Linked DNA regions of Oryctolagus cuniculus. The protein of the gene in region 1 interacts with the protein of each later gene in a pairwise test. Links are inferred from orthologs where the notes say so. Each region holds a gene or a part of one and is shown in the gene's direction. Other genes may lie near its edges. The genes, in order: DZIP3, ZCCHC10 and HNRNPUL1.

Region 1 (6,386 bases):
CCAGGAGCCAGGAGCCTCCTCCTGGTCTCCCACGCGGGTTCAGGGGCCCAAGCACTTGGGCCATCCTCCACTGGTATTCCAGGCCACAGGAGAGAACTGGACTGGAAGAGGAGCAACCGGGACTGGAACCAGTGCCCATATGGGATGCCAGCGCCGCAGGTGGAGGATTAACCCAGTGTGCCACAACGCTAGCCCCTGGTATCCTTCTTTCATTCCCTCATCCACATGCCAGTTTTCCTTCTAAAGTCTTGCTGAAAAAAAGTTTCCCATTCTGTTTTTTAAAGGAATACATGTCAACACTATTGTTAAATGAAAGCCTATAAGACAGGAAAAATAAATCCAAGTATGAAATATCTGGTAACAGATATTTTGAGCAATATTCTTTTTCCTATTTATAAATCTGGCCCTCCAGAAGATTCAGACATTTTCTACATGAAACATGCTTCTCCCCAGGATCGGACCTATGGCTCAGTAACATCCGAGCCAGCATTATGGTGTAACGGGTTAGCCACCACCTGCGATGCTGGCATCCTATATGGGTGCTGGCTGCTCCACTTCCAATACCGATCCCTGTTAATGTGCCTGGGAAAGCAGTAGAAGATGCCCCAGGTACTTGGGTCTTTGCCACCCACATGGGAGACAGAAGCTGCTGGCTCAGCCCTGGCTGTGGCGGCAATTTGAGGAGTGAACCAGCAGACCTCATGTCAGACCTGTTTTTTTTTTTTTTTTTTTAATATTTATTTATTTGAAAAGCAGAGTTAAAGAGAGTGAGAGACAGAGATAAAAGATCTTTTGGTAAAGAAAATAGATTATGATTACTAGTAAGGAATATACAGCCTCTGTGGGAAACAGAAAAGCAGTTTCTCAAAATTTAAAAATAGAACTACCATATTATCCAGCAATCCCACTACTGGACATACATCAAAGGAAAATGAAATCACTCTGTAGAACATTAACTTGCATTTCCATGTTTATGGAGCACTATTCACAGTAGTCAGGAAATGTCTTCCCATTGATGAATGAAAAAAAAATAAAGTGGTACATAAACACAACAGGACAACAGGATACTATTGCTCAGCCATTAAAAAAAGAATTGCTATCATTCCTAACAACAACTGGAACTGGAAGTCATTATGTTGAGTGAAATAAGGCAAACACAGAAAAGTATCGCATGATCTCACATAATTGGAGCCTAAATAAAGGTGATCTTATGTAAAAAATACAATGGTGGTTAACAGTGCCTGGGGAAAGACTAATTAATAGGCCACAAGGTACAGGTAGACAGCAGTAAGTAGTTCTGGAGTCCTACTTTCCAGAAGGGTGACTATAGATAATATACTGTACATGTCTCTATTAAAAAACTACAGATAGGATTTTGAATGTTTTCACTCTAAAGAAGTGCTAAATGTTTGAGGATATTATTATTTACTCTGCTTGAACACTGAACAATGAACACATGTACCAAAGTATTACATGGTACCCCATAGATATGTACAATTGTTATACGCCTGCTATAAAAAGTTTACATAACTTAAAGACACAGCTGAGGGTCATTTTAAAGTCCGAGTTCTTTTAACAAATTATCAAATCGTTAACTCCTTGCCACATCTGCCCCGAAAACAGCTGTATACACTGTGCGAGCTTGGCTGCAGTGTGAAAACGAAAACCGGGGAGCAAAGGAATATTAGACAAGCTCTGAGCTTTCTCCTTTTCCTAACCGAAACACAGCCAGCATCTCCAACGTTTTGCCCCATCTTTAACCTTCAGAAAGCTCACATTCCTCTCGTTTAAGCGAGCTGCACGCCAACAGTCGCCTTTAGCAGTACTAAGCGATACCTAGAAAGTACCGAGGGTCTTCTTTCCCAGGCTGGGGGCCCACTCCCAGAACACACGGTGAACTAAGGATTAGTAACCAGGGACGCCCCATTTCCCCCCCACCCCAAGGCGTCTCACCTCCAAGTGCCGCAAGAGCTGGGTAGCGTTCGCCTCTGACTTAACGGCTTTATACTGACCGATGGTCAGGAGCAAGGACTTCAAGCAGGCGGTAGAATCCATGGAGACAGGCCTTGGTCCTTGCAGCCTTGCAGAAGATCCACCACTACCCTGACAGCTCCCGGCTCCGGCGTTCGCCGCGCTTTATTTGATTTTCGGCACCGCCCACCCACCCTGTTCCCGGAAGCTTCCGGTTCCGGTCAGGCTCCGGAAGTGCCCAGCCACTCGCGGTTGATGGGCGTGGTGCGTGTGGCTAGAGGTGCTCTATGAATCTGTGAAGGGGCTTGGGAACCTCTCCCTCCTATCCCCTACTTGTCCAAGAGTCCGCGAGGTTTCAATGTGAGATCCCGTGAAGGCGAAAAATCTCGCGAGAAATGTGACTGTGGATCGATCTGTGGAGGGGCGGTTAAGCGCAAGGGGGTGTGCATCTGCGCCCGGAATGTCGTGAGCGATCTCGGTCTTGCTAATGGATGGCCGGTTTTTGCTTTTTGCGTCATCCTCTACCAGAGAAATGATCGCTGTCCTCTATCTAGACACGGTGAGGAACTCGGGAGGAGAAGAGTTTCGGTGACTTGGGTTTTGAGGCGGGCTGCAGAGGCCTCTGTGTCTCAGGCGTCCGTCCCTTCTGCCCAGGTGTGGTGGTTTCCTCGTACGTTCTTTGCGGCTGTGAGGCAAGTTAATCGCGCCCTCACGACGGTAATCTGGCTCTGGAGAAAGCCACCCCCGGGGGGGATTCCTGGGCCAGGTGATACTCCGAAGGTGTTCGCACTAGCGTCACTTTTGTAAGTTGAGGTGTTTTTCTGTTTGGCTTGATTGTTTGTTTATAAATGTCAGTGGCTACGAAATTGGCATTCTTTGCGGTTTTTATCAGCCATATTACGATGCATGTGTATCTGAATGAAAAGTCCGTATCTGGTTCTGCAGTTAAAGGGCTAATGACGAATAAAGCTTTAAAAACCGGGTTGTAGAAAATTGTGAGAATAGGCTACATGTCCCTTTAATTAAGTCGTTAATTAGAAATCGTGTTTTGTCAATTCAGAGGACTTTTTTTTGCTTGACAATTTTTTTTATGTATTGGTTTCTGATTCGAGAGATCATATAAATAGTTCTGTTTCTCACTGTGTGTGTGTATTATCTAGCCTGACTCATAATTGTACAATAAGCTTATACAGTCAGTATGGCACTGGAAAGAACAAAAAATTTACAGCTCGTGAAATCTGGGCAGGAATTCCTACAACTACTGACTTACCAGCTTACAAGAACTCTCTAGGCCTCAGGTTCTTAATTCTTAAAACTGATTGCAGAGATGTTTATCTTTCCAAGTTTTGTGAAGATTAGTATACATAGATACATAACATAGATCCTGGGACATCAGAGCTGATGAAAAGTAATCTTATTTTCAAGCTTTATGTAACCAGCTAATTTTATATGAAAGAAAACTTCATACCAAAGGCTTGATGTTCTTTCTCGCTTAAACCTTTCTTAAAGTTTATATCTTTCTAAGTTATCAGAGCAGCCAGTTCACTTGCATAGTTGGAGGAGGCTGAAGGTGCTTTGTCATTGGTGGTGGGGTATCCAAGTACATAAAAAAAGTGTCCTCCATTCTCTGGTTGATGGTCATCTCTACAGATGCCATGTTTCAAAATTCTCCTTTCATAATTATGGTCCAACAGTGGTAATGGCAATATAACATTTTTGAGTTGCTGAAAATATTCCACTTGGGAAGAATGTACTTAGGGGCAGCATATGCCATTCTTGTGGTTCCTAGCTACATTTATAAACAATATGATTTTAGCAGTGCTACCTTTAAATACCTGAATCTGCTGACAAATTTAGTATCTGGATGCATTTTCAACTAACTCCTAAACTTTCATATTCATTGCAAGTGCATTCCTAACATTGAAAACAAATGATTAATCCTGTAAGTTTGCTGGGTAAGTCCAGAAGTAACTGAATGGATTCTCAAAAAAACCTTAAAATCCTGCTTTTACTAAGATGCTGATTTTGCTTTAGGGATCATGTATTGGCAGGTTTATAACAAGGGGGCAATCAGTATACATTGTCAGATTTCTTGCTTCCTGGTTTAAGCTGCCAGATAGTACAAACAATATTTACATAGTGGCAAAGTGCTAAGATGCACATTGTTTTTGTTTTTTTTTGGGGGGGGCAGAGGGCAGGGCAGGAAATATCTTCAGCTTCTGATAACTTTTGCAAAGATTTTACAGTCATCATTCATCAGCCCTAGAGTTTACCCTAGGAACCAATATATTCTTTGGGACCCAATAATGTTTTGGCCTTTTATGTCTAGATATGCTGATTTTATGACCTTACCAGGAAGTTATACAAATTCAAAAAAACAAAGAACTGAATATGCCTCATTTTCAAATTCTGTCTTGAAATCCTAACTCTCGGTATAATGGTATCAGGATACGGACCTTGGAAAGTAAATCAGTTTATAAAGGTGATCCTCATGAGGGGGAAAATACAAAGGACCCTAGAAAGCTCTCAGCCTCCTCTGCCACATGCTGATAAGAAGTGAACATCCCAGAAGAGATCCTGCTGACTCTGCTGGCACCTTAATGTCAGATTTCCAGCCTCCAGAACTGTGAGAAAGATATTTCTGTTGTTTATACTTTGTTACAGCAGCCCCAGTAACTAAGATAACCCCTTATACCACTTCAAAATGATTGTCTATCAGAAATAATCCGATGAACCATAGTTACAATTTTGGTTCTAGGGAACTCCATCACAAAGTCTCTTGACATATTCCCAGAGGCATTTTGTTCATTTTTTTAAGTCTTGAAATGATCATAGCATCTAATATCTCCACTTACAGGAAGCTTTGGGATTCTTATGGTAAAACAAAAGAAGTGTTTACTAGTAGTGTCAAAGTTTGCTTGATAACATGTAGAAACTTCTAGTTCAATGTTGATGTTTAATTCTATGCTGATGTAAATTTAGCTTTTAAAAACAGCTATCGAGATGTTACCAAGTTTTATTTTCAAGGTTGTTATTGCAGCATTGTTTGCAGTAGCAAAAAAAAATTAAGAGGCAAATCTGGGCATAATAAAATTTATACAATGGCATATCCTATAGTTTAAATACTACGGTAAATATATATATGTGCTGATGTGAAAAGCTTAGTGCCATTTGTTTCATGTGTGATGTATGTGAGAAATAGCTTTTGTCCCATTTCTTATTATTTATTTGAGAGGTAGAGTTACAGATAGTGAGAAGGAGAGACAGAGAGAAAGGGCTTCCATCCGTTGGTTCATTCCCCAAATGGCCGCAATGGCTGGAGCTACACCGATCTGAAGCCAGGAGCCAGGTGCGTCTTCCCTGTCTCCCATGTAGGTGCAGGGGCCCATGGACGTGGGCCATTCTCTACTGCTTTCCCAGGTCACAGCCGAGAGCCGGATAAGAAATGGAGCAGCTGGGACTGGAACCGGCGCCATATGGGATGCTGGCACCCCAGACAGAGGATTAACCTACTGCGCCATGGCACCAGCCTCATCCCATTTCTTAAGTTTAGTTGTTACTCCTTTTCATACAGTTGCATTTCTTCATCATGTATAGAAATAGGGGATAATGAATGAATTTGTTCAAAACCTAAAGGTTAAATGATGCTGAGGAGGAGGAAGATGGTTTTGATAGGAACATTTATGTAATGTTTACTATGTGCAGGATACTATTCTATGCTGTGTTTTAAGCATTCTGTCTTCACAACAACCTTATAAATTAGATATCTCATTATCTCCAGTATTCAGATAAAGAAACAGACACAGAGAATGTTAATTTCACTTAAGGTCATAGAACTAGTGTGTATCACAGCAGGCCCATATACCTTTGCAGAGTGATTCCAGAGTTTTTATGCTGTTACCAACAGTACCATGCAGTCTTTCAACTTACTTTTGACAGTAATGTACAATTTAATACTTTATCCCTTTTAGTATTTTTTTGTTCTAGTTAATACTATTTATTGAACTCTGTAATTAACACACATTTATTCTTAGGTGTTGAATTTAACTGAAAAGTGATCCCTGTTAAATATAAGAGTGGAAATAAGAGAGGGAGGAGATGTACAATTTGGGACATGCTCAATCGGACTTGCCCCAAATGGTGGAGTTAGAAACATGCCAGGGGATTCCAATACAATCCCATCAAGGTGGCATGTACCAATGCCATCTCACTAGTCCAAGTGATCAATTTCAGTTCACAATTGATCACACTGATAGGTCTAAGAGTCAAAGGGATCACACAAACAAGACTAGTGTCTGCTAATACTAACTGATAGAATCAAAAAGGGAGAGAACGATGCAACATGGGAAGTGGGATACACAGCAGACTCATAGAATGGCAGATGTCCCAAACAGCACTTTTTAGGAGAGTTTTTT
Region 2 (6,447 bases), on another chromosome or scaffold:
CAGTAATATATCACATTGGTTTACTAAATATACAAATTTAAACAACTGACCATTCTGAAATCTGGTGACAAAGCAAGCTTGTTTACAATCTTTTAAATTTATATTTATTTTTTATTTGAAAGTCCACAGAGAGAGGGAGAGAAGGAGTGGCCCACTCCCCAAATGCTCACACAGCTAGTGCTGGGACTAGGCCACAGCCAGGAGCCTAGAACTCAATCAGGGTCTCCCACGTGGACGGCAGGGACCCACTTGAGCCATCACCTGCTGCATCCCAGTGTAGGAAAAAGGAGGGAATTGGAATCTAAAATGGAACTAGGACTTGAACCCAGGCACCTCAATATGAGATACAGGCATCCCAAGAGGGATTTTAATTGTGTCAACCATCCACTCCAGTGTACAGCCTATTTGAAGGGTTATCAAAATCTTAAGTGTGTATATTCTTTGACTCAGCAATTCCATTTTAAGGATCTTAACAAAAAGCCTTCATTGAGTGCTTTAAAATCTTTTGTGCTGACTTAATTGTTCAACAATAGGGTTCTGATTGGATAAACTGTGGAATATCCTATCATATAATATACAAAAAGAATAAATTAGATCTGTATGTTTTCAGATGTGAAAATATACCCATAAATACACAGGGGAATAAAAAAACAGCAAACTAAAGAACAGAAAAACAAATCCCTTTTTAAAAGACTTTATTTATTTGAAGGAAACAGTGAGAGAGATTCCCTGCTGGATCACTTCCCAAATGGCTGCAATGGCCAGAGCTGGACCAGCACAATCCAGGAGCTCGGAGCTCCATCAGGGCTTTTCACATGGATAGCATGAGCCCAGGTAACTGACCTACCTTCTGCTGCTTTCCCAGGCACATTGGCAAGGAGCTGTATGGAAACTAGAACAGGGGCTGGTGTTGTGGCATAGCAGGCTCAGCTGCTGCCTACGACGCCAGCATCCCATATGGGAGCTGATTCATGTCCCAGCTGCTCCACTGCTGATCCATTTCCCTGCTAATGGCCTGGGAAAGCACGAGAAGATGGCTAAGTGTTTGGGACTCTGCAATCCACGTGGGAGACCTGGAAGAAGCTCCTGGCTTTGACCTGGCCCAGCCCTGGCTGTGCGGTCATCTGGGGTGTGAACCAGCAGATGGAAGATCCCTCTTTCTCTCCCTCTCTGTAACTGATTTTCAAATAGGATAAATAAATCTTAAAAAAAAAGGAACAGTAGGGACTCAAACTGGTTCTCCAACATGGGGTGCCGGTATGGCAGGCTGCAGTTTAGCTTGCTGTGGCACAACGCCCAATAATCCATTCTTTAAAGAACAAGCTGTACTCAAAGCTGACATCATTACCTTCTCTAACTCTCAAAATTAATCACTTTACTCCTTTATTTGGGATTCCTTTTCTTTCCTTTTTAAAAAGATTACTTGAGAGGCAGAGAAACAAAGAAGTACAGAGGAAGACAGAGACAGCCAGCCAAAGGGTAAACCTAGCCACTGGTTCACTCTAAATGCATCATAATACAGTAGAGGACATCATATTGCAAGACCAAGTAAGCACGGCAAAGAGAACTCACTTTCATAACGAAACTACTCTTTCAATAACCAAATTAATCCATTAATCTGAAAATAGATTCATTTATTCATGAGGGCAGAATCTCCGTTACCTAATCACCTACCAAATATTACTGATATATGACTTTAGGGATTAAATTTCTTTTTTTTTTTTTTTTCAGATTTATTTCTTTATTTGAAGGTCAGGGAGGCAGAAGAGACAGAGACATCTATCTGTCAGATCATTCCCTAAGTGTTTGCACCAGGCCAGGGCAGAGCTAGACAGAGGCCAGGAGCCTCCTGCCAAGAGCTGCCTCCTCTGTGGGTGCAGGGGCCCTGGCATGTGGGCCATCTTCTGCTGCTTTCCCAGGCACATTAGCAGGAAGCTGGATCAGAAGTGGAGCAGGTGGGACCTGAATCTGTGCAGATATGGGATGACGGCATTGCAGGCGGATGCTTTATTTGACACACCACAGCTCTGGCCCTGGTGGTTAAATTTGTAACACATGAATTATCGGGGGAAAACACCCTAATCATAGCAGATTTTGTTTATTATCTGTAGAAAGTTCCATGTGCCCAAGGGTCTAAACTTGAACAACACAGCATCTCAAGCTCCTAAACACTTTACTAAATAATTATTAATTGAAAAATACAAATGGGTGACCTAGAAACAGACAAGAATATATACAGCAGGATTTCAGAAAAGTTGGTGGGAAATGTACATTTTTCTTTTAATGCCATTTTCACTAACTTTTTGGAGTAATTATACATATGAAGAGTGTATATATATATATATATATATATATAGAAAAGATTGTGGACTTGGGAGAACATTTCCATGAGTCGATACTACAAATAGGTATAGCTACAATTTTCTAAAGTAATATTTGCGATGGTCTTTTTCTGGTTGCCAAAGCAGCTTTGGTCCTTATAACATTGCTGTGAATATATTAAACAATGAACAGTTAACACCATTTTCACTTGAGGATGTGCTAAACCCATTCTCTCGGATCCAGGGCCCGCTCACTATTTTATTCTCCAGACTTCTGCTTTCCGGTACACAGTAGTTTCATTCAGTATCTCTGCGTGTGGGGGATACCTATACACACGAATCTTAAAAATACATACTTTTCCTTTTCGGGAATGTGCTTCCCCGTCACCGTCCTTGCAAACCTCGCTCAGCCCCATGGACGGACCCACAGCGGCGTCCGCACGCACCCGCCTCCGGCCCTCGGCCTCCTCAGAGAGGCCGCCCGCAGGCCCCGCCCAGAAGCCGCCCGGAGGCCCCGCCCACGCCGCGGCCGCCGGGTCCAAGTCCACGCCCCCTGCGAGGAGTTTCCCAAAACTCAGCGCGGCAGGCCTCGGCCGCGCTAAGATGGCGACTCCCATGCATCGGCTCATAGCCCGGAGACAAGCGTAAGTGGGGGCCCTCTCGGGCTCCCGGACGGGCTGGGGGCGGGGAGACGCGCGTCAGCCGGCGGCTGAGCCGGCGCAGGGGTGCGCGGCTGGGCGTCGGACCCCCTCCGAGGAGCGGCCGAGGATGGCTGTTGCTCAGACACATTGCCAGCGTCCGCGGGGCTCGGCCCGGGCGATAAGTTTGGTGACCAGAGACTTGCGGGGTCGTGGAACAAGAAGGCAGCACGCGGGGGTTGGTCACTCCGTGGGTTAGGCCGTTCTGCCCGCACGGCGCGTGGGCAAGGGAAGCCGGGTCGGACCCCTCCGCTCCCGCGGAGGTAAACTGCAGCTCCCTCGGCAGCCTCCCGGCCAGCTGTCTTTCGCTGCCCCCTTCCCATCGCCGTCCCTGGACTCAACCAGCAGCTACTTCTCAGTTACTGCCGGTCTCTCCCTGAGTAAATATGTAGTCCCTGGGCTCGGCGCCAGAGCTTGGGCATAACGAAGAGGTGTTTCATTCCGATGGAGCCCCTGCTTCGGGAGCTCACGCTCCGGTGATGGGGACGGTCTCTAGTTTGGTCAGCTTTGACGGACACGAGGTTTGGTGGTGGAAAGAGGCGACATTTGATCAGAGATGGCCATGGGGAGAAAGCAGCCGGTCCTGAGACGATGTGTGGAAAGAACATCCAGACAGTGGCAAAACTGCTTGGAGGCCAGAAAGAATTTACTTCTCAAGAGCAGAAAGATGGCCAGTGTGCCTAAGGAGCTAGCAGGACAGCGGCGCCAGAGGTTTGCCGTGAGCCGACAATGCAGGGGTCATCTCGGAGGCCCTTTTCCTGCAAAACCTTCTTTCCTACCAACACATCTGCTACTTCTTCATTCTCAGTGTTTCACACCATCATCGTTTTGCACACCTATAGTGCATAGCTCAGAGTCCATTAACGTATATATGTTTATGTTTTTTATGTTTCTCCCTTTTCAGGCCCGATGAGAGTTCCCTGAATATGATAAAGACTCAGGGAGTCAGAGTAGTCAGCTTGGTGGTGAAAGGAGGCTCAGTGCTAACTGATGTCATTAGGTCTCCGTCTCTGCCTCTCTGCTTCTGCCTCTGTTGCTCAGGTTTGCTTTCCTGGATGTTGGCTCCAGACTGGAACAGACTCTGTTTTCTTCCTAATGCAGTATGCCAGGGTCCCTTATATCCTCTCAGCTTGGAGCTGGCTGCACTTCAGTGACCTGACTGCCTTGGCACACCTGTGGGATTTTGAAGTTACAATTGACTCAGAGGTCTCCTCTCCCAGCCTAGTGGAATGGATGACCATGAATGGATGATCTGGGTGGACGGGTCAAAGGTAGATGAATGCTGACTAATCAAAATCCGTAGTAGTGCTCATTCACAAGTATCAGAAAGTTAAATGTTTTCTTTGTATAGTGTGTGTGTTTGGTCCATGAGGTACATTGGAAGTAAAAGGCAGATCAGAGCTCGAGCAGCTTGTGGTCTTGTTGGGAAGAGGTATAATATAAGTTGTTGTGGTGTACAGATTGTAATACCCCCAGGGATTCAGGAAAGGAAGATTATTTTGAGGTTAGGGACGTGCAAAAGAATTTTAGGGATGTATTTGGGGGAGAGGAGAGGAGTCTTTGCTTTTCATTTTATTTTCATATTATGTTAGTCAAAAAATGTTAATTTTGTTTATAAGGAGCATATATGACTTTTATAATAATATGTTTAAAATTGTATTTAAGTTATGAGAACTGAGAAAGGTCTGTTGTCATTCTTTTTTTTTTTTTTTTCCTTTAAAGATTTATTTATTTGAAAGGCAGAGAGATCTTGGGGGAGACAGAGAGAGAGGTCTTCTGTCCTCTGGTTCACTCCCCAAGAGGCCACAATACCTGGAGCTGGGCCTATCCAAAGCCAGGAGCCAGGAGCTTCTTGAAGAACCAGGTCTCTGATGTGGGTGCAGGGTGCTAAGCACTTGAGCCATCCTCTACTTCAGAAGAGCAGCCAGGACACAAACCGGTGCCCATGTGGGATGCCAGCATCACAGGTGGAGGCTTATTTTGAAAGCATAAATTAGCAATCTATATGAAAGATGAATTTTTTAAAAAGATTTATTTTTATTTGTTTGAAATACAGAGTTACAGAGAGAGGTAGAGATGAAGAGAGAGAGAGTCTTTGATCTGCTGGTTCACTCTCCAAATGGCTGCATTGGCTGGAGCTGAGCCGATCCGAAGCCAGGAGCCAGGAGCCTCCTCTGGGTCTCCCACAAGGGTGCAGAGATCCAAGGACTTGGGCCATCTTCCACTGCTTTCCCAAGGCCATAGCAGAGAGCTGGATCAGAAGCGTAGCAGCCAGGACTAGAACCGGTGCCCATATGGGATGCTGGTGCTTGAGGCCGGGGCTTTAACCCACTGCACCACAGCACCAGCCCCGAAAGATTAATTTTTTTTTTAAGACATTAATTTGTTTATTTGAAAGGCAGAATTAGAGAGAGGAATCTTCCATCTTCTGATTAACTTCCCAGATGGCTGTAAAAGCTGGGCCATGCTAAAGCCAGGAGCTAAAAACTTTCAAGTCTGGCCATGTTGGTGGTAGGAGCCCAGCTACTTGGACCACCTTCCACTGCTTTTTTGGTCGCATTAGCAGGGAGCTGAATTGGAAGTGAGCAACTGGGGCTCAAACCAAAACTCATCTGAGATGCCCACATCACAGGTGGTGGCTTAACATGCTACATCACAAAACTGGCCCCAAAATTAGTATTTTAGAGGTAGTTTATTAGTGTTTAGAGCATAAAAATAAAATATTAATTATAGATGTACTTTGGATATGTGTGAAAGTTTTATTTATAACAAAAAGTGAATTCCTCAATGTCTGGTGATATTTTAATGACTAGGATCCCAAGCCAATAGTTTGTTAATACTGGAAAAACAACTTGTGAGCTTAGAAAAGATGACTGTTTAACTGATTGCAAGAGACTTTCCTTCCCCCAGTATTTTCATTGTTAGGAAGAATTGTGGAAGGCTTTGAAATGGAAGAAAAAAGATTAGTAGGTATCCTGTGTAGTCCACCCTTCCTGGCTATGAGACTCTATGAAAGTCTGCTCTTTTCATTGTCTTTGAGCTATTTTACAAATCTGTGGTTGTAGGACATTGCTAACACTGCAGATATTTGCCCTTAGAACTGTGATATATTCAGTTATTGCCTTGTCTACTAACCAGCATTTGTCAATTCATTTTAGTGTGATTGCCCGTATTGGAGTGATGTTTGAATTCTCATTTCAACCATTACTGATTCCCCATTATTTAGTGATTGAATGAAATTTTTTTGACAGGCAGAGTGGACAGTGAGAGAGAGAGACAGAGAAAAAGGTCTTCCTTTGCCATTGGTTCACCCTCCAATGGCCGCCGCAGCTGGCGCACTGCGGCCGGCGCACCACGCTGATCTGATAGCAGGAGCCAGGTGCTTCTCCTGGTCTCCCATGGGGTGCAGGGCCCAAGCACTTGGGCCA
Region 3 (6,457 bases), on another chromosome or scaffold:
CGGAATCTAAGATTCTAGATCATATGCTCCAGGAGTCTGGATGTTAATCCCTGAGATCCTGATGCCGGTCTAGCCTGTGTTTCAGGGCACTCTAGGGTCTGTTGGTCCAAGATTCTGCATGCAGGACTCTCACCGGTAGCCATGACTAACTAGACTCCAAAGTTCTAATCGTTCCTAACATTGGACACCTCCAGGTTCTATGTGCACTCTGCCTTCCTAGGATCATGTGAAGGACCCAAGAATCCACATTTGTAAATCTGAAGGTTCTAGGTACTGCAGTTAAAAGACTGCGTGTTCTCAGTTCTCAGGGTCCACAGCCTAGAGTATTAGGTACGATTCCAGGGTTCTAACCTGATAGGGTTCCTCTATGTGCCCCTCCCCTTCTTAGGCACTGCCTTCGCTTCCTCCTCCCCCCAAGCCTGTGCAATGCATTAGGGATGCCTCCTTCCCCACCACCCCGGGGGATGGGCGGCTCCCTACTTTTGGGTCATGCTGCCCCCATGAGCCAGTCCCTTATCGCCGGTGTACAAGTGTGGTCTCTGGTGCCTCCGGAGGAGCTGAGAGCACATAAAACTTCGTAATCTTCTTTGTGTCTCCTCTCATCTGCATTCAGCTGCGATGCGGCCCCTCTCCCCAGCCATTCAGTTTCTCTGTCAGTACCAGGAAGGGTGTGGTGGGGTCTACGAAAGTCTCCTCCCTAGAGAGGTCTAAATGAACACTGTACATCGAGGCCAAACACACACAATCAGGCAGACACCCAGCGGGAAGAGGAAGAAACTTGAGCAACAGATCCAAAGTGATAGAAATCCTGAGACACGGAGCAGAACAGGTACCCACAGTCCAGGAAGAGAAACGCGGGCACAGAACCCCTCCGGTAGTCCCGGGTCCACCAGGGGAGTCCGCTCGCTGCCCTGGGCGCGCAGTCCAGGGTGTGTCCGGGAGCGGACCGAGGAGCCCCTGGCAGCGCCCGGACGCCCCCCGGTGGCGGCTCCCGAGAAGCCGGGACGGTTCAATCCGGGCCACAAACTTTTTTAGAACAAATCGTTGTGCAAGGCTGGGAGGAGAGAGGAAGTCGGACGTGGGCGAGGGGCGGGGTGTCTGGACTGGAACCTCCGGGCCCACGTGAGTGTCTGTCCCGCCGCGGAGTGGGTGCTGCGTGTCCGGGTGGCTGCAGTGGCACTGTCCGCTGGGTCGGTGCGGTGTGGGGCCGCCCGGCCGCGCGGAGCTTCGCGGGCACACCTGCGCTGCCGGTGTGCTGCACCTGATCCGACCCGAGCCTGGGGGTGTATCTGCGCGGCGCGCGCCTTTGTCTGCTCCGCTGGAGTGTGGCGGGTGTGGGCCTTGCGTGCCTCGGCTGTGTGTCTGACTCCGGGTTTGTCCGTTTGAGTTAGAGGCGACAGGTGGCGCGGCGTTAGACGCCGGGGAACTCGGGCGTCCGTGTTTATTAGCGGGAGGCCCGATCCGCGTCTCTGAGCCCGTCGGCCAGGTGCCCCGGACAGCCATGCAGAGGGTCGGGGAGGGGACAGCCGCTCAGTGCGGGGCTCTACCCGGAGAGGGGCGGCTCCACGGCCTCCGCGAGGCTGCGGTCGCGGACAGAGGCCCCGCGAGGCGAGCTGGCCAGGGGATGGACACGCGGTTTCCTTGACAACTTTTCTCTCGTCGCTGGCCTAGCCTCTAGTATCAAACCTGCAGGACTCGCCAAAGTTCCGTTTTTCATTAAAAAAGTAATAATAAAACAGCCGAGTTCCAGATTATGAATAATATATCTGTTTAATATCTACTCCATATGCCTCCCTCTACGGCGAAATTTGTGAGGCAAGCCTCTGAAAAACGGCCAATCCTGTTAGCTTTTCCTCAAGCGACCCATCTCTACCGGCCCTCAGTGAGATGAGACAATAAATGCAATTGGTGGACAGATTGTTTTGAAACCGCCCTAACGGCAAGGGGCGGGTCCTTCGTGAATTTTTCTCTTTCCGGTTTCTTAAAGGCAACAGGAAGGAGGGGTTTCTACCGACCCTCGTTTTGATTGGTTCTAGTGACTTTACCCGCTCGTACTCCTCAAGGGGCGGGAGATGTAGACAAATCAGAATGTGTGTTGCAAAGACACTTAGCTCGATGAAAGGACTTCGCAGGAAAGGCGGGGGGGGGGGGGCGCTCATTTTGAGAGCCCAAGGTTGATTGGACTAAATCGTTACTCCCCTTTTCTCATTCGACCTTACAGCAGCGGGCGCGCGGGCGCCATCCAATCAGCTGGCGCTCCGCCTTCTGCCTTTTCCCGCCCTCCGCTTGGGCCGCGTCTTCGACGTAGGCCAACGCTTCCTCCCTGGCTGCTCGTAGGCCCTCTCACTGTCGTTATTTTGAAAACTGTGCTCTAACTGGCTGAGTCTCCGGGCCCGCGCCCGTTGCCCCCGCGCGCTGGCCAATTGACACCCGTGTTGCATCGTACGGCGCACTGGGAGGGGGAGGTGGCGGCGGCGGCGGCCATTTTGAGCCGCCGCCGCCATTGGAGTAGCCCCCCCCCCTTTCCCCCTTCGCCTCCTGACAGGAGAGGTTTAAGGGGGACAGAGCCCTGGGAGGCCGGGCCGGGCTCGGGGGCCGCCCCGGGGGCCCGGGCCATGGATGTACGCCGTCTGAAGGTGAACGAACTTCGCGAGGAGCTGCAGCGCCGCGGCCTGGACACTCGCGGCCTTAAGGCCGAGCTTGCTGACCGGCTGCAGGCTGCGCTGGAGGCCGAGGAGCCCGACGACGAGCGGGAGCTCGAGGCCGACGACGAACCGGGGCGACCTGGGCACAACAACGAGGAGGTCGAGACCGAGGGGGGCTCCGAGCTGGAGGGGACCGCGCAGCCACCGCCGCCCGGGCTGCAGCCGCACCCGGAGCCCGGCGGCTACTCGGGGCCGGACGGACATTGTGAGAGTGCGCGGGGCGGGGGCCGGGGAGCCTGGAGTCTGGGCCAAGATAGGGCTGTGGGACGCGGGAGTCCGGCGCCCGAGGTCGGGGACTTGCTGTGAGGATCGGGGGGTCCTGCGATCGGCCGCCGCGAAGGATCTGGGGACCGGGGCCTCGGGACGGCCGGCGGGTGGATTCTGGCATTCGGCGCGGGGGAGAAGCTGGGGGTGGGCGCTGTCGGTGTCGGAAAAGAGGTGGGTCCAGGGAATGGGGAGGGTTCTGGACCTTAGGGCTCGGAGACCGGAAACCGTGGTTTTTGGAACCGAACGGAGTCGGAAGAAAAAGAGGTTTTCTATTTAGGGGCTTGGGGAGAGGCTTGGAAATGGTGATCCTGGGGTTTGCAGCAGGGTGGGCTGGGCGTTAGGAGCCGCGTTTCCAGCTTCGGGACGGAGAGGCCGGGGTCCTGGCCGGAGCGGCTGATAGGGTCCTGAGGTGGGTTGATGAGATGGAGGCACTGGTGTCTGTGCGGTGGACTGGGTGCTCTGGTGTTGGCCGGAGAGCCGTGAGGGGATGTGGGAGACCAGCTTGTTCCACGGGGGGACCCACCTCTCTTCCAGGCTGGGAGGCCAGCCGAGAGGCAGGCGCACCTTGGGCACTGGGTGCTGGGCGATCCGGGGACCTTGTGGTTGACTGCCAGAGGCGGCACCAGGAGCCTTGGTGTCCTGAAGCTCGTGGGGGCAGGAAAGATGCTTCCCTGGACAAAGGACCCGGGAGCCTGGGACTGGGCAAGCTCTCCGGGCCGGAACTCAGTGGCTGTGCTGAATGGTCCTGGTGAACGGGGCAGCCGGGATAGGACGGGCGCAGAGAGCAAGCTGGTAGTGCTTGAATTTGGTGAAGTAACCGAGGGACAGGGGATCCTTGTGTCCAGCACGGGAGTGTGTAGCTGTCTGGGAAGATGGGGGAGGGGGAGTGAGTGAGTAATGGAAGGAGAAGGCAAGCCTGTTGACTTGGTCCCCGGGGGCCTCGGGGTGTTGTTGGGGGGAGAGGTGGGGCTCAGCATCTCCCGGTGAGGGTTCCTTGGTCCCCAGAAGCAGTTACTTGCGTGCCCAGGGAGTATCTGCATCAGCCAATAGGAGTGAGTGTGGGAGTGGAGGGATTAGGGTAGGCCTGCAGCTGTTTGAGGAGCAGAGACCTGGCATGGCAGAGAGTGAGTCTGGAGTTAGCAGAGGGCGACTTTTTTTCAGCACTGGGACTGCAAAGATGGGAGGAAGAGAGGTTAAGGGGGAAGGACTGTGGTGTCCAGGGCTTCTGGGGGGTCTGTGGAAAGGGCACCCTGGGGCTGGGGGGAGAAGGTGAGAGGAGAAATGGGGCCATGGAGGAGACTTGGGGTTGGCACTGGGTCCTCGTTCACGAGAGATGTGGCAGCCTGCGTGTAAATTTGGAGTGGAGAACAGCCCAGTGACTGTCCAGGACCCAGGTGCTGGCAGCGTGCGTGGCGTGGCAGAGACCTGGGAAGGAAGAAGTGGCCCGGCGAGCTTGTCTGTAGAGTGGGAGCCCCCAGTGGGGCAGAGTTCCGGGAGAGCAGGGTGGTTGGATGCCTCGGCACGCAGCCTCTAGACTGTTTCAGGTTCGGCTCCGTGACTCGGGCAGGGTGCTTCATCTCCGTGCGTCTGGTTTCCTTGTGTGTAAAATGGGGTTACAGGGTTGTTAAGAATGAAGTCACGCGTGAAGGGCCTCTCCCCAGGTCCGCCTGCTGATGAGGAAAGCGGCGTTTAGGGGATGGAGAGGCACCCCAGCATCTTGGCTCCCTGGGCAGGCTGCTCCGGGCCCAGAGGGATGCTTAGAGAGGCTTGAGGCTCTGGGGCACACACTGCCTAGCGCCTGGAGGAAGCAGCTGGGCTGAGAGGACCTCACATCCCAGGGAAGATGACGTTCCCTCTCTTCCTCTCGCCCTGCCCTCTGCACCAGAGTCCTTTGAGTGCCCTCCACACCCCTGCGACCCTCCCTCAGCCTTGGTAAACAGACCTGTAAGGCACCACGTGACCTGAGACTTTTCTCCCTTTGGGCCGCACCAGGTTTGTGCCCAGATGTGTTTGTCCTCTGAGAAAGCATCCAGTCAGTCAACAAGTGGCAGGATAGGCTCTGCTTCCCCGTGGTTCTGCCTCACTGCTGCTGGCACAGCCGTGAGGAGGACTCGGGAGGCACCCAGCAGAGAGCGGCCCCTGGGGCCGAGAGCCGGTGAGCTGCTCGCTGGTGCTCACTCAGTCTCCAAAGCCCTCTCAGGTTTGCCTGCAAGGTTCTGCCCCTTGAGAGAGTGTCTGGGTTAGGGGGAAGGTCTGGTTTCAGTCCCACCTCTGAGCTTTCCTGTGCGGTATCCCAACCCCGGCAATATTCTCCATTCTCATCCCTGAATCTTCGTTCCTGTGACCTTGGAGCCAAACCTTGGCTGTTATTTCTCAGGTCCCTTTTCTTTTTTAGCTCCTGATATTTCTTGATAACCCTTTCTTTTTTTTCTTTTTCTTTTTTAATTTTTTTTTTTTTTTTTTTTTTTTTTTTTTTTTTTTGACAGGCAGAGTGGACAGTGAGAGAGACAGAGAGAAAGGTCTTCCTTTGCCATTGGTTCACCCTCCAATGGCTGCCGCGGCCGGCGTGCTGTGGCCAGCGCACCACGCTGATCCGATGGCAGGAGCCAGGTGCTTCTCCTGGTCTCCCATGGGGTGCAGGGCCCAAGCACTTGGGCCATCCTCCACTGCACTCCCTGGCCACAGCAGAGAGCTGGCCTGGAAGAGGGGAAACCGGGACAGAATCCGGCGCCCCAACCGGGACTAGAACCTGGTGTGCCGGCGCCGCAAGGCGGAGGATTAGCCTAGTGAGCCGCGGCGCCAGCCTCTTGATAACACTTAACACAATCATAGTTAAACTTCTGTGCATTTGTGTGTGTATGGTGTTTTGTTTTGTTTTGTTTTTAGATTTATTTATTTGAAAAGCTGCGTTAGAAGGAGAGAGAGCTTTCATTTGCTGGTTCACTTCCCAAATGACTGCAATGGCTGGGGCTGGGCCAGACCAAAGCCAGGAGCTTCTTCCTGGTCTCCCATGCAGGTGCAGGGGCCCAAGCACTTGGACCATCCATCCTCTGCTGCTTTCCCAGGCCATTAACAGGGAGCTGGATCGGAAGTGGAGCAGCCAGGATTCAAACTGGTGCCTGTATGGGATGCTGGCACTGCAGCCAGTGGCTTTAACCTGCTGAGCCACTGTTCTGGCCCCTGTGCGTTTGTTTAATATGCCTGTCTCCCTAAACTGCAAAGGCCTCCGTAGGGAGAGCTTATCCTAGGCTCTGGTGTGGAGCGCACACTCCAGGAATCGTTCCTAGCACGCTGCAGCCGCTCTCCTCTGCGCCTGCGGGAAACCTTCCTGAAACCCCTCCAGCCTGACTCCTGGTATTTCAGGACAGATCCCCAATGAGGCTGAGGGCTACTCTTAGGATTCCCGTTTTCTTCATAGCTCCTTCCCTTCTCCATTTTCCCATCCACTGAGATTGTCACCCTTGCCTCTGCAGGGCAGGGGTGGG

The links.
Region 2: the proteins of DZIP3 (region 1) and ZCCHC10 interact in binary tests that used the Homo sapiens proteins (3 or more experiments, as listed by UniProt). The link is inferred for Oryctolagus cuniculus from reciprocal best matches to the Homo sapiens genes DZIP3 and ZCCHC10.
Region 3: the proteins of DZIP3 (region 1) and HNRNPUL1 interact in binary tests that used the Homo sapiens proteins (3 or more experiments, as listed by UniProt). The link is inferred for Oryctolagus cuniculus from reciprocal best matches to the Homo sapiens genes DZIP3 and HNRNPUL1.

Annotation. Positions count from the first base shown.
Region 1 is NC_091435.1:64,353,025-64,359,410, forward strand, and holds the start of DZIP3 (E3 ubiquitin-protein ligase DZIP3), read left to right. Parts: upstream 1-2,390; 5' UTR 2,391-2,530; exon of another isoform or gene 2,531-2,774; intron 2,775-6,386. Other genes in the region: protein CIP2A, read right to left, coding at 1,954-2,055. UniProt on the Homo sapiens protein: E3 Ubiquitin ligase proteins mediate ubiquitination and subsequent proteasomal degradation of target proteins.
Region 2 is NC_091437.1:21,522,706-21,529,152, reverse strand, and holds the start of ZCCHC10 (zinc finger CCHC domain-containing protein 10), read left to right. Parts: upstream 1-2,732; 5' UTR 2,733-2,735; coding exon 2,736-2,965; intron 2,966-6,447.
Region 3 is NC_091449.1:13,343,947-13,350,403, reverse strand, and holds the start of HNRNPUL1 (heterogeneous nuclear ribonucleoprotein U-like protein 1), read left to right. Parts: upstream 1-2,289; 5' UTR 2,290-2,615; coding exon 2,616-2,910; exon of another isoform or gene 2,911-3,143; intron 3,144-3,168; exon of another isoform or gene 3,169-3,381; intron 3,382-6,457.